Linked DNA regions of Xenopus tropicalis. The protein of the gene in region 3 interacts with the protein of the main gene of each other region in a pairwise test. Links are inferred from orthologs where the notes say so. Each region holds a gene or a part of one and is shown on either strand. Other genes may lie near its edges.

Evidence for each region.
Region 1: the proteins of hsd17b14 (region 3) and snapc3 interact in binary tests that used the Homo sapiens proteins (3 or more experiments, as listed by UniProt). The two-hybrid records come from large-scale screens. The link is inferred for Xenopus tropicalis from reciprocal best matches to the Homo sapiens genes HSD17B14 and SNAPC3.
Region 2: the proteins of hsd17b14 (region 3) and ddit3 interact in binary tests that used the Homo sapiens proteins (3 or more experiments, as listed by UniProt). The two-hybrid records come from large-scale screens. The link is inferred for Xenopus tropicalis from reciprocal best matches to the Homo sapiens genes HSD17B14 and DDIT3.

Annotation. Positions count from the first base shown.
Region 1 is NC_030677.2:123,988,930-123,992,890, reverse strand, and holds the start of snapc3 (snRNA-activating protein complex subunit 3), read left to right. Parts: upstream 1-1,161; 5' UTR 1,162-1,256; coding exon 1,257-1,465; intron 1,466-3,961.
Region 2 is NC_030678.2:140,584,251-140,588,537, forward strand, and holds the start of ddit3 (DNA damage-inducible transcript 3 protein), read right to left. Parts: upstream 2,801-4,287; 5' UTR 2,697-2,800; intron 1-2,696. UniProt on the Homo sapiens protein: Multifunctional transcription factor in endoplasmic reticulum (ER) stress response. Plays an essential role in the response to a wide variety of cell stresses and induces cell cycle arrest and apoptosis in response to ER stress.
Region 3 is NC_030683.2:114,399,271-114,402,770, reverse strand, and holds part of hsd17b14 (17-beta-hydroxysteroid dehydrogenase 14), read left to right. Parts: intron 1-1,312; coding exon 1,313-1,417; intron 1,418-1,546; coding exon 1,547-1,614; intron 1,615-3,500. UniProt on the Homo sapiens protein: Catalyzes the NAD(+)-dependent oxidation of L-fucose, yielding L-fucono-1,5-lactone, which rapidly converts spontaneously to L-fucone-1,4-lactone. Can also act on D-arabinose and L-galactose, with lower catalytic efficiency. Does not use NADPH.

The DNA of each region.
Region 1 (3,961 bases), on a different chromosome or scaffold from region 3:
TTATGTTCAGTGCCAGACAGTTTTTAATTCTGGAACAAGATTTAGAGCTCTAAATAACAAACAAAAAAATACTTGCTATTTTTCATGATATTGGACACCGACATTGCTTCCTTTGGTCAATCTGTACTGCACACTGCTATAGTGTATAATACCAACCCTTGTGTGTCAGAGCTTTGGTATATCCTTGTGTTGTTCATTACAAATGTGGAAGGAACAGGAAAACTATATCATTCTATCATTATTTTCATTTACTGGACTCAAACATCGTAGTGGACAATGACTTCCCAACCCTCTTAGTAGGGGGGATAGTCTTTTAGTCAGATGAGATGGAGCAGATGGGAAGGGAAGGTCCTTTTATAAATTTGGCATTTCCAGGAAGGGGAGTTTTAGTCTTTTTGGGAAACAAAAATTGGGTTAAGTATGATAATATTTTCCTTTTCCCACCCCCAGGAAATTGTTTTTTGTTAACTTTTAAAATTTTACAGAATGGGCACTTCTTTCCAGCTTTTCAATTGGTCTTCATTTTTTATTTTTATAACTTTTGAATTATTTGCTTTCCTCTTCGGACTCTTTCCATCTTTCAAAAGGGTGTCTCTGACCCTGACAGTTAAACTATTCCTCTGTGAGACTACAATTTCATTGTTATTGTTACTTTTTATTACTTTCTTTTATTATCTTTCTATTCAGACCCAGTTTCTCATTTAAGCCACTGCCTAGCTGCTATGGTTAATTGGACCCTAGCAACCAAACTGGTGAGTTGCTGTATATAAGGCTAAATAATTTAAACACCACAAACAATAAAAATGAAGATCAATTGCAAATTGTCTCTTAAAAGAACTTCCTACAACATACTACAAGTTACTTTAAAACTAAACAACCACTTCATAGAATTAAACATGATATGGTTGATGAAAAATATAGAACAGGTGATTCGCAATACACCATAGCTAAACCACAGGCGTCTTAGCTTTAAGCTTAGCACAAACATTATAAAATCACCTAACCCACATTTTGATTTTTGGTTTGATGTACGGAACGATTTGAAACCAAATAATGTCACCACTTTACAAAAAAAAAAAAAACTCTTACGCTTACGTTGTCAGTCAACAGTTCAATAGTGCTCGGAGGCCTGCTGGTACTTGTAGTCTATTTCACGCCTCCCAGTGCTGTCGCCAAATGGAAACAAGTACTACAATGCCCAGGATGCATTTCGTCCGAATGGACGTTCCGAAAACGGGGTTGAATACGGCAGGACAATGGATGAAAACATTCCGGTGTATGAAGTAACTGATGCGAACACGCGCCTGATTCATTTAGGTTCCTTCGGGGACTTGTGGCGAGAAAGGTTACAGAGTTGTGATTTGACCTTAGCCGCGGACGCCGGGCCTATACAGGATAATAGCTATGTGGCCCAGGATCTTGGCTGTACTGAGGAAACTGCTGCAGAACTTCGGCTGATTTGCGGGTAATCTAGACTTCTTTTTGCGGACAGAGTGACTAGCAGCGCAGACTTTATACTGCGCAAGCGTAATAGGAACGATAATTAAGTTTTCATTTAAAAGCAGCCAGAAAATAGGACGCTGCGTGGCTATCATCACTACTAGCATTGTGCACCTGTAATGACATTTGCCTCTGGGCACTGTAATATTTTATTTTATGGGCTATGTCAGTAGTACTACCTGCACCACTTCCTCATATAAATGAAACTAAAATCATTAGGGGCTGTCCATTTGCTAGGCAGATACATGTGCAGAGTGTATTCATCTGTAACTGTAGTGCGCATGTGCCAAGGGGTACCTAGGAGCAGGCAAGAAGGTGGTGGCTGCGCACTGTAGGGAATTATACTGGTCTGGCACACACAAACCAATTTGTGTGAGATGCCTAAACTCTGGGGTTTACTAACACTGTGCTCTGCTTGTCAAACAATATGAACCTGGATTAGATTAATTTAGAGTGAGTCCAAAATGGCAGTTGACCAGTGTGAAAGTTATTTAGATTAAACTGGGTCTAGCCAACTGAGCAGCCAATTGGACCATGTATGAAGTCAAAATGACTGCTTCCATAACAGATATGAGGAGTCATTTAATGACGCGCAAGTACCTTTAATGAAAGTGATTTTACGTGCAGCTCGCAGTGAAAATTGGGCGGATGTCGATTAAGTAGTTTAAAATACCCCTTCGGGCAAGGAGCGCATTGGCTCATTGATGTGGCCCTCAACCTGATGGTCTGCATCCCTTTAATGTGATTTGAACGTTTGGCCCTCAATCCAAACAATTGGATCAATCCTATATGCCAAACTTGAGGTGGGTATATCGTGGAAAAATCTGCTTTTTGATGACCTTGCCATACAAGCAGATATTTTAGTGTAGGACAGCTTTGAGCTGGATCACTACAGCGGGGATACATGACGATGCAGTCCTCTTTTTGACAGGATTTTAAAACCTGTTTGATATGTGACTGATTGTTGGCCAGATATTGGTCAGGTAGGCCAGTCAGGAGGCCCCAAACACAGGTAGATAAGCTGCTGACTGAAGTGGATGAATCGACAATTTGTTGTAGTGCCTAGATTATTACAACTGGAGACTTTGGATCTTTCAATTACAGACTAGAAAACCCACTTGGTCTCAATAGTGAAAATGATGAAACCTGCTCCTTCAGATAAACTTGCTTTTCAATGGTTCAGTCAGTCATTTAGAACATAATAAATACAGTGCAGTGTTTTATTTTTTAGCACAAACATCTACATTAAAAAAAATGGTCTTTTAATTGTTATATATTCTACCCTGCTGCTGTTTTTACTTTATTTTTCATACTTCTTCTTTTAAGATTTTTTTTCTGCTCAGCTCTTTTCTGCTTCTCATATCATATGGCCTATAATGTGTTTAACTTGCTTCACATAATTGTACCTTTTCCCTCTCCTCCTTTCTCTCTAACCTTTTCACTCTACTCCTTTTCCTTAGCAGGATATACAGGCACACTAAAGTGATTTGTGCTTTGAGTATGGGTCAGCACCTGATTGGTTAATTATTTAGACCATTTTGATTGGTCTTTTACCTTTGGTACCTTCCTATGATTGTTTGTATTGGCTGTTGTACTTTGTATTGTGATTGGTTATATAAAAACTTTGTACAAGGGATGTGACTTTTATCCTGTAAGTAAGTGCCCCTTAGGATTTATAAAGCCTGGTTTGTTTAATGCCTAATAAAGGTTATATTTTTATCTAATAAGTACTTCAGTGCTGCTTGGATTTTTTAATCTCACTCTTTAGTTTTTCATTGGTTATTACCTATAACTCACAGACTGGTGTTTAAGTCATATCCACTGCTATTTGGATTTTTTCATTATTTTTCCAAATTTTATTTTATTTTTTCATTTTTGATGCAAGGCAAATGCACACTGTCATCTACGTCATCTATTTCTTTATAATTTATCACCCCTAGTAAGCAAACCACTGGGTCCACGATCTGTCTTGTGCCAGGGAGGTTACATACATTTGTTGGAGATATTTGTACTGATAATTTCGACAAAAGACAGACATAAGATGTGTCTGTAGTGTCTTCACCCCATTGCTTCTGATTGAGACCTGGAATGGCCTGCTTCCAGAGGTGGTTGGCTTGGTCAGAGGGTGAGTTGACAGTTTCCATAATTTCTCTGTAGTTTGTAAACTGGAGTTTAGCTAGAGTTTTCCTTGAGAACTATAGTGTTAAATTGTGCCACTAGGGCATGTCTGGACTGCATAAATGCACCTGTGGGTTCTGTAGCTTCCCCTGCAGTTCCTGATGTGTGGGGAATTATGCATTGGGCACAAAGTCAGACAGTTTCTGAACCCCAGGCGAGGCCAGTGGGGATCTGGGTGTGTAAAAGCCTAAGTACTGAAATGATGCAACCCATTTTAAGCGTATGTTTAGGTGTGGAAGGGCTAGAGTTAAAACTGTACCTGTCCTGCTCTTTGTTCCAGTTT
Region 2 (4,287 bases), on a different chromosome or scaffold from region 3:
CCACACATGGACTGAAAATCATACAAAATGTAGTACTGGTTTGGCCAGCTTAAGTCTTAGTGAGATCTTAAGCAATAAGGAGGCAATGTAATCAAAATGGCAACTAGATCTAGTAACCCATAGCAACCAATCTGCAGGTAGTGCTTACTAAATTAGGATCTTGAATACAATAGGCCTCGAGACTGGTTACTGTTACAGGTTAGTCTTTATTTTTTTTTTTTTTTATACAAATAACCTTCACACAACATGCACCATAAAACAACTATAAAACTTTGCCAGCTCGGTTAAAAAAAAAGGTAATTCCCCTCTAAACACCCTTAACCGAACACAGATCTAAAAGGTGCCCATACACGTGAAGATTCGCTCGCTTGGCGAGGTCGCCAAGTGAGCAGATCTTCAACCAATATCCACACCTACAGGTGGCAATATCAGGGAACATGTAGGCCAATTCAATCGTTTAGCTCTGGGGCCAAACAATCTAATTATAATGGCGGCAATGGGGCAGTCAGTTCGGGGACCGCATCTTTTAACTGGCCCGATCGATATATGGCCAATTTGGGGCAGATATCGGTCGGGTATGGCCGTCACTTCTGCCCCTACAGGAGCCGATAAGCTGTCATATCGGTCCAAGGGACCAATATCAGCAGCTACAATCGGCCCATGTATGGGAACCTTTAGTGTGGGAATGGACCCAAGCGGAATTATACAGGGATTTTTTTGGCCGCTGTAATCTGCTCTACTGCAAGCAACAAAACTTCACTAGGTTTTCCCACCATTAATTCATATTACTGCCGCTGGGAAGGAAATTTGGGATATTTTGTCAGCTGGAGCAGCGCAGATTTAGCAAAGGGGAACAAAATGTTTGTGACATTGCCCTGAAGGAAAGCAGCCTGTATTTATATTCAGTTAAACAAATGGACATTAAACAAGATAGTGATTGGTTTCATTTTATCATCTTGTTGTTGGTTCTACAGTCACTCTCAGCACCTGTTTAACTATGGGTGCCTTGTAATATCCATTTTGTGAGTAAAGGTGGCCATACACAGGCAGATTTAAGCAGTCAATTCAAGCTCTTTGGACTCTTCAGAAAGAGCATTTAGTTAATTGTTAAAGACTCTGCCCATGACTTTAATTTTGCTCTTAAATATTTTAGTTCAGTTTGGCCAGGGGGGTGGAAGCCTAAATTTCATCTGGCATGTGCAATTTCTATAGTTTTAGATTCTACCATCTACAATAATATAGGGCAGGTAATGGATCACCAACTTACATCCCGTGAGAGGAAAATTGAGGAAATTGAGCAGCAGAAAATGGAAACATAAGAAATCACGACAGCTTGGATAACTGAATTGCCGTTTGTTTTGGCCAGCAGTGTTCCATTGTCCTATTCTGTGACAAGCTCTATCAAATGATGTATATGGTATGCTCCAGTGTTTAGGAGATAAGGAATCATTAACAGACAGTCCTTGGAAAAGGGCAAATGAATATGCCTGTAGGACAAGCATTTTATTACTGGTCTGTGCCTGTACTCTCCTTTATCGGGTTTAATAAATGCCTTGGCTGATTTCAACCCCCCTGGTTGCCTTACAGCAGCACCAGGAGTGGGATAAAGTTAAATGGCTATGAAGTCAGGCAATACACGCACCGATAATATACGATATTTGGTGCGTGTATGGCAACTCGGCAAGGCGACAGATATCGCAGAAGGTTGCGGATATCGGTCGACACTCCAGTCGGGAGCCATTGAAGGCGTCTGAGCAAAATCTGCCTTCAGGGCTGAATCGACAGAAGGAGGTAGAAATCCTGTTGTTTGTACCTCCATATCTGCCGTTTCAGCCCTGAATGTCAGCGGAGGGTTGGAACGATCTTTTGTGCGACCACCATGTGGCCAGCTTTAGTGCTTAATCTATGCCAGCTGCTGTGTGATGGGAGTCACATTGGGGTCCGGACAGCTGGAGAGTGGGATCTGCTGCTGGGCTGCTGTGTCTGCCTGGCTGCTCCAGCTGAGAGACAACAGGGAGGAAGGGAGGGGGAGCCACCGCTGTATTGTAATCCTGGGCTCTGTAACCGGCAGCAGTGCGAGAGTGGGCTCTGGGACAGGCTTAACCAGCACTGACTGGCCCTGCCTCCACTCATTCATAAGCCTCAGATACCTGGGATGCCGTAGGTTCTAGAACTGAGCACTCTTTGCCCTTTTGGTCCCATATAGATTGTAAGCTCTACGGGGCAGGGACCTCGTTCATCTTGTTTCTGACTCTTATTGCAACTGTACCTTGTATTTATTTGTATTTATTGTTATACTTTGTATTTATCCATTATCTTTAACCCCCTGTTTGTATTAATGTATTCTACTGTACAGTGCTGCGTACATAAGTAGCGCTTTATAAATAAAGACATACATACATACATACATACATTTCGCCCCAACCAACAAAACAGACTCTAAAGAAATTATAGAGCATCTCCCCTAATGGACCATACCAGAACGAACAGTCTTACCAGTATCAACACTAAAGATGAACTACATCTCTCATCTTATAGACTCAGGCTCTGCACAGCGTTGGAATAATAAAATGGTCACAAAAAAACGTCACTGTGCGCTTGCCTTACTAGAGCCGGATTAAAGGCACACATAGGAGATGCCGATACCTATGTCCAAAACTCGCTGTAATCAATATGAACACAAGAAATAACAATACCTTTCTCCACGTAGGGTCTGTTCTCTTTTGACAAATAAAGCGACAGCGTGAGCTGGTTTGTGGTTGCACGTTAAGAGACTGTGGGCTCATGTTAAACATCGTCTGCGTCTTCAGCAAAACGACTGAGGATATGTGCGAAGAAGCCGCGTTATATAGCTCGCTGCCTTAGCCAATCAGATCGTCGATCCCAATCTAGCGTACACGACCCTTATCCTATTGCTTCCTCATTCGCCTCTAGCCAGACGTTCCGGGGAGGACTTCTATTGCCAGCCCCCAGGTGCCTTCTACAGCCAATTAGAAGGCTAGCTGAAAAAGCATAACGAGGTATGAAACGCAGAGGCCCGTCAACCGGAAGCCTAAAGGCGGAGACACTTGGGTATGCTGTTGTGCAGTCAGAGGGTGTGTTGCGGAAGTGTTTTGTTGGAAATCACGAGACGAGAGTGAGTCATAGTGGGTGATGCAAGAGCTGGCAAGCTGGGGCCAAGCCTTCCCCCAACCCGAGGGACTTTCCAAGCTTGCTTTTCACCTTCAGGTTGTACGACCTTGTCCGCAACCTGGTTTTATCATAAGAAAGCAACATAAATAGCGAGAACTAAACCTAAAGAAGTAATACAGAGAGATATAAAACCTGCGTTGCTAGAAACAACTAGCGACTAATCCTAACGCCAAAATTGTATAAGGTGCCGGGTTTTTTATCGTTCCAATTATTTAAAGCAATTTCACTTTAGAAATGTAGCTGGCTAGTATACCAACTAAAACACACAGGGGCATATTTATTATAGTGTATAAGCCAGCATGACTTGAGGCGATAGCAACCAATGAGATATTTGCTTTTGTTTCTAACTTGTGATTATTAAAATCTAATTGCTTATTGGTTGCCATGGGCAACATTACCTGTCATGTTGGCTTACACACTGAAATAAATATGCTTCTTAATACCACCTTATAATGTATCTAATTATACAGTTCATTACTCAAAAATAATTTTATTCCAGTTTGCCATGTACATAATGAATACATCTTTATTTAAAAAAAAAAAATCCATGAAAAGTCTATATTAAAAAACCTGTACAAAATATGTATGAAAAAAATCATGAAAAACAATGGAATCCTTAGGTGTAATAGAAGTTAATGTGGTCAAATGAAGTCACTTGATAGTGTCAATGTAGATGGACAGCGGATGTTAGCTGAACAGCATCAATTTAAAATAGCAAAAATACTAAGGTGAAAATATTGAAGCAGTAACAGGTGGGATGGTGGTTTTCCTGATGGAAAAACGAGTTATTTAAGCATTGACTGTTTTAATTACTGAGGCTAGTGCTAGGCATTGGGTATAGATGTATAACTCTTTAATGTACCACCACTCTTTAAATTTGCTGCTTCTCTGCTGTATCTAAAATTGTTGTGCATTGCACCATTATCATCATTCATTTATTTAACCAAATTTGAGGTTATTAAACTGGAAAGGCGCCTCTTCTAGTGAGAAAGTGCTATTGGGCAAATGGGTGACACAAGAGTAACACTCACCCCTTTATCCCTGGTAACCAGTAAGTCACACAGTGCTTTCCTCCCTGCTTTCCATCAGCATGTG
Region 3 (3,500 bases):
AGAGCAATGAGTTTAGGATATCTGTATAATAAGCATAGTGGGTAGTATTTTTTAAAAAGAGAAGAAAGAGACACTTTCCATGTACAACATTAAAACTTTTTATTTTATTACAGTTTAAATAGAGAAGAGCAACCTTGTACTTATACAGTATACTGTAAGAATGAACAATATCGGATATATTTGATCACATCATAAACTGCACTGCATTCCAATCAATATTTGCTGAATAGTGAACATGATAATATTGGGCTTTATTGTTCACATTTACTTTTTTATTGCAATGGCACACAGGGAGATTAGTTGCCCACGGTTAAATCTCTGCTACTGCGGGCAACTAATCCCCTAAAATGCCTTTCCGCCAGCAATAAAGAGAATCGCTGGTGGGAAGACGCTTTTTTTTCTGAAGTTTCCAGTGCAGGGTGGAGATGAAGCACCACATATGCACCCCACCGGCGATTTACTTTATTGCCCATGGGGAGATTTGTTGCCCATGGTAGCCAAGATTTAACCATGGGCGACTAATCTCCCTGTGTGACATTGCAACTACTGTCAACTACTGTCTTCTCCATTGCTTTTTTCCCACATCACCCTTTCTTTAACACAGGGACCCTCAACCTTTTTTACTCATAAGCCACACTCAGATGTAAAAGTGATGACGAGCCACACAAACATAAGGAATTTGCAGGGTGTTGCCAAATAAGGGCTGTGATTGGCATGACTTGGATTGAGATTGAGAAGTGCATCTCCTTGCTCCCTGTAAGCTATTGCTTTTTGAAGAGATGCTGATTATTTTTTTTTAGCCTTCTCCGCACTATAGGCCTTAGATGCACATCAGCTTTGGTCTGTTAATATACAACAGAGATCGGGCAAACTCCAGTCACATATTAGCTTGTTAAACCTAAGATATATTTACTTACTCCATATTTACCATATTTACTCACTCTTGAGTTTGCATTTCATTTCACAGAACAGACCTGCATATTTGCTTTTACGCCTCTTATACGTTACTATTTGCTGCTCAATATAGACTATAATTAGAGTCAGGGTATTTTAGCCCCTGATACCCTGGAGTTTATCCTGGCTGTACATATTAATGTTTGCCTAATTTTACAAGACCATAAAAAGCTTATGCTTGATTGGCTGCTACTGGGGTGGGGCAAACCCTTAATCACCTTACTATATAACCTACAAGGTGACTGCATAATAATAATAATAATAATATCCATTAATGTACTTTTATGCAAGTTTTCTTTCATGTGCAGGAAATCCTTTCATCTGTTCTTCCTTAAAAATGGCTCTTGATGTGTTTCAGTATGCTCTGCCGCACCTGAGGAAAACACAAGGGAACATCATCAATATATCCAGCCTGGTTGGTATCATTGGTCAGAAACACGCTATCCCTTACGTGGCCACAAAGGTATGTCTTCTCCTGCCATCTTGTAAGAGTGGGTTCTCCTTTATGGATGCTGGAAGCTGTAGCGTGACAATTAAATTGAACCAATACTGTTCCCTTGACTGATGCTTACCTGGATTTATATATGTACAGGGTGCAGTCACAGCAATGACAAAGGCAATGGCGGTGGATGAGAGTCGGCACAATGTGAGAATTAACAGGTAACCTCTGCACAATGAGCATGCATTGATACCTTTGTTGTTCATGGAATAACCAAGTAGTAGTGTCCCTGGGTGGGTGCACACTGAGGGATATTACTGCTCCAACACATGTGCCATAGGATTCAGAGCAAGGCTTTTTGTAAGGATATACCTGAGAGAATTGCATAGTTTGTGTGCCTGGTGTGTAAGTATCAGGCTCAGCCTGGTGGGGCTAGTATCCGGGCTAGTGGCCTGGTGGGGCTAGTATCCAGCTAGTGGCCTGGTGGGGCTAGTATCCGGGCTAGTGGCCTGGTGGGGCTAGTATCCAGCTAGTGGCCTGGTGGGTCTAGTATCCAGCTAGTGGCCTGGTGGGGCTAGTATCTGGGCTAGTGGCCTGGTGGGGCTAGTATCCAGCTAGTGGCCTGGTGGGGCTAGTATCCAGCTAGTGGCCTGGTGGGGCTAGTATCCAGCTAGTGGCCTGGTGGGGCTAGTATCCAGCTAGTGGCCTGGTGGGGCTAGTATCCAGCTAGTGGCCTGGTGGGGCTAGTATCCAGGCTAGTGGCCTGGTGGGGCTAGTATCCAGCTAGTGGCCTGGTGGGGCTAGTATCCGGGCTAGTGGCCTTGTGGGGCTAGTATCCAGCTAGTGGCCTGGTGGGGCTAGTATCCAGCTAGTGGCCTGGTGGGGCTAGTATCCGGGCTAGTGGCCTGGTGGGGCTAGTATCCAGGCTAGTGGCCTGGTGGGACTAGTATCCAGGCTAGTGGCCTGGTGGGGCTAGTATCCAGCTAGTGGCCTGGTGGGGCTAGTATCCAGCTAGTGGCCTGGTGGGGCTAGTATCCAGCTAGTGGCCTGGTGGGGCTAGTATCCAGCTAGTGGCCTGGTGGGGCTAGTATCCGGGCTAGTGGCCTGGTGGGGCTAGTATCCAGCTAGTGGCCTGGTGGGGCTAGTATCCAGCTAGTGGCCTGGTGGGGCTAGTATCCAGCTAGTGGCCTGGTGGGGCTAGTATCCAGCTAGTGGCCTGGTGGGGCTAGTATCCGGGCTAGTGGCCTGGTGGGGCTAGCATCCAGCTAGTGGCCTGGTGGGGCTAGCATCCAGCTAGTGGCCTGGTGGGGCTAGTATCCAGCTAGTGGCCTGGTGGGGCTAGTATCCAGCTAGTGGCCTGGTGGGGCTAGTATCCGGGCTAGTGGCCTGGTGGGGCTAGTATCCAGGCTAGTGGCCTGGTGGGGCTAGTATCCGGCTAGTGGCCTGGTGGGGCTAGTATCCAGCTAGTGGCCTGGTGGGGCTAGTATCCAGCTAGTGGCCTGGTGGGGCTAGTATCCAGCTAGTGGCCTGGTGGGGCTAGTATCCGGGCTAGTGGCCTGGTGGGGCTAGTATCCAGCTAGTGGCCTGGTGGGGCTAGTATCCAGCTAGTGGCCTGGTGGGGCTAGTATCCAGCTAGTGGCCTGGTGGGGCTAGTATCCAGCTAGTGGCCTGGTGGGGCTAGTATCCGGGCTAGTGGCCTGGTGGGGCTAGCATCCAGCTAGTGGCCTGGTGGGGCTAGTATCTGGGCTGGTGGTCTGGTGGGGCTAGTATCCAGCTAGTGGCCTGGTGGGGAGCAGTTAACTTTGTGTAACTGAAATACCAGGGCCCATTTTGTGTCCCAGTCCGGCCAAGAATGAATAAGGAAAGCAGTGTAAGTTATTGTAGCGGGTGAGTACTCAGTCCCCCCACAGACACATTACTAGGAGGACATGGCTTAGCTGGGTGAAAATTCCTTTTCCTTTTTTATACATTTGCCCCTTTGCTTCACCAATAAGTAAATGGATAACTGATGAGAGTGCTGTTCTAAGCACTTTCGCATTTTACATTCGTAACTTTTTTTTAGATATTCCAAGATATTAAGGGAAGTTCCAGGAAGTAAGGGAACAGC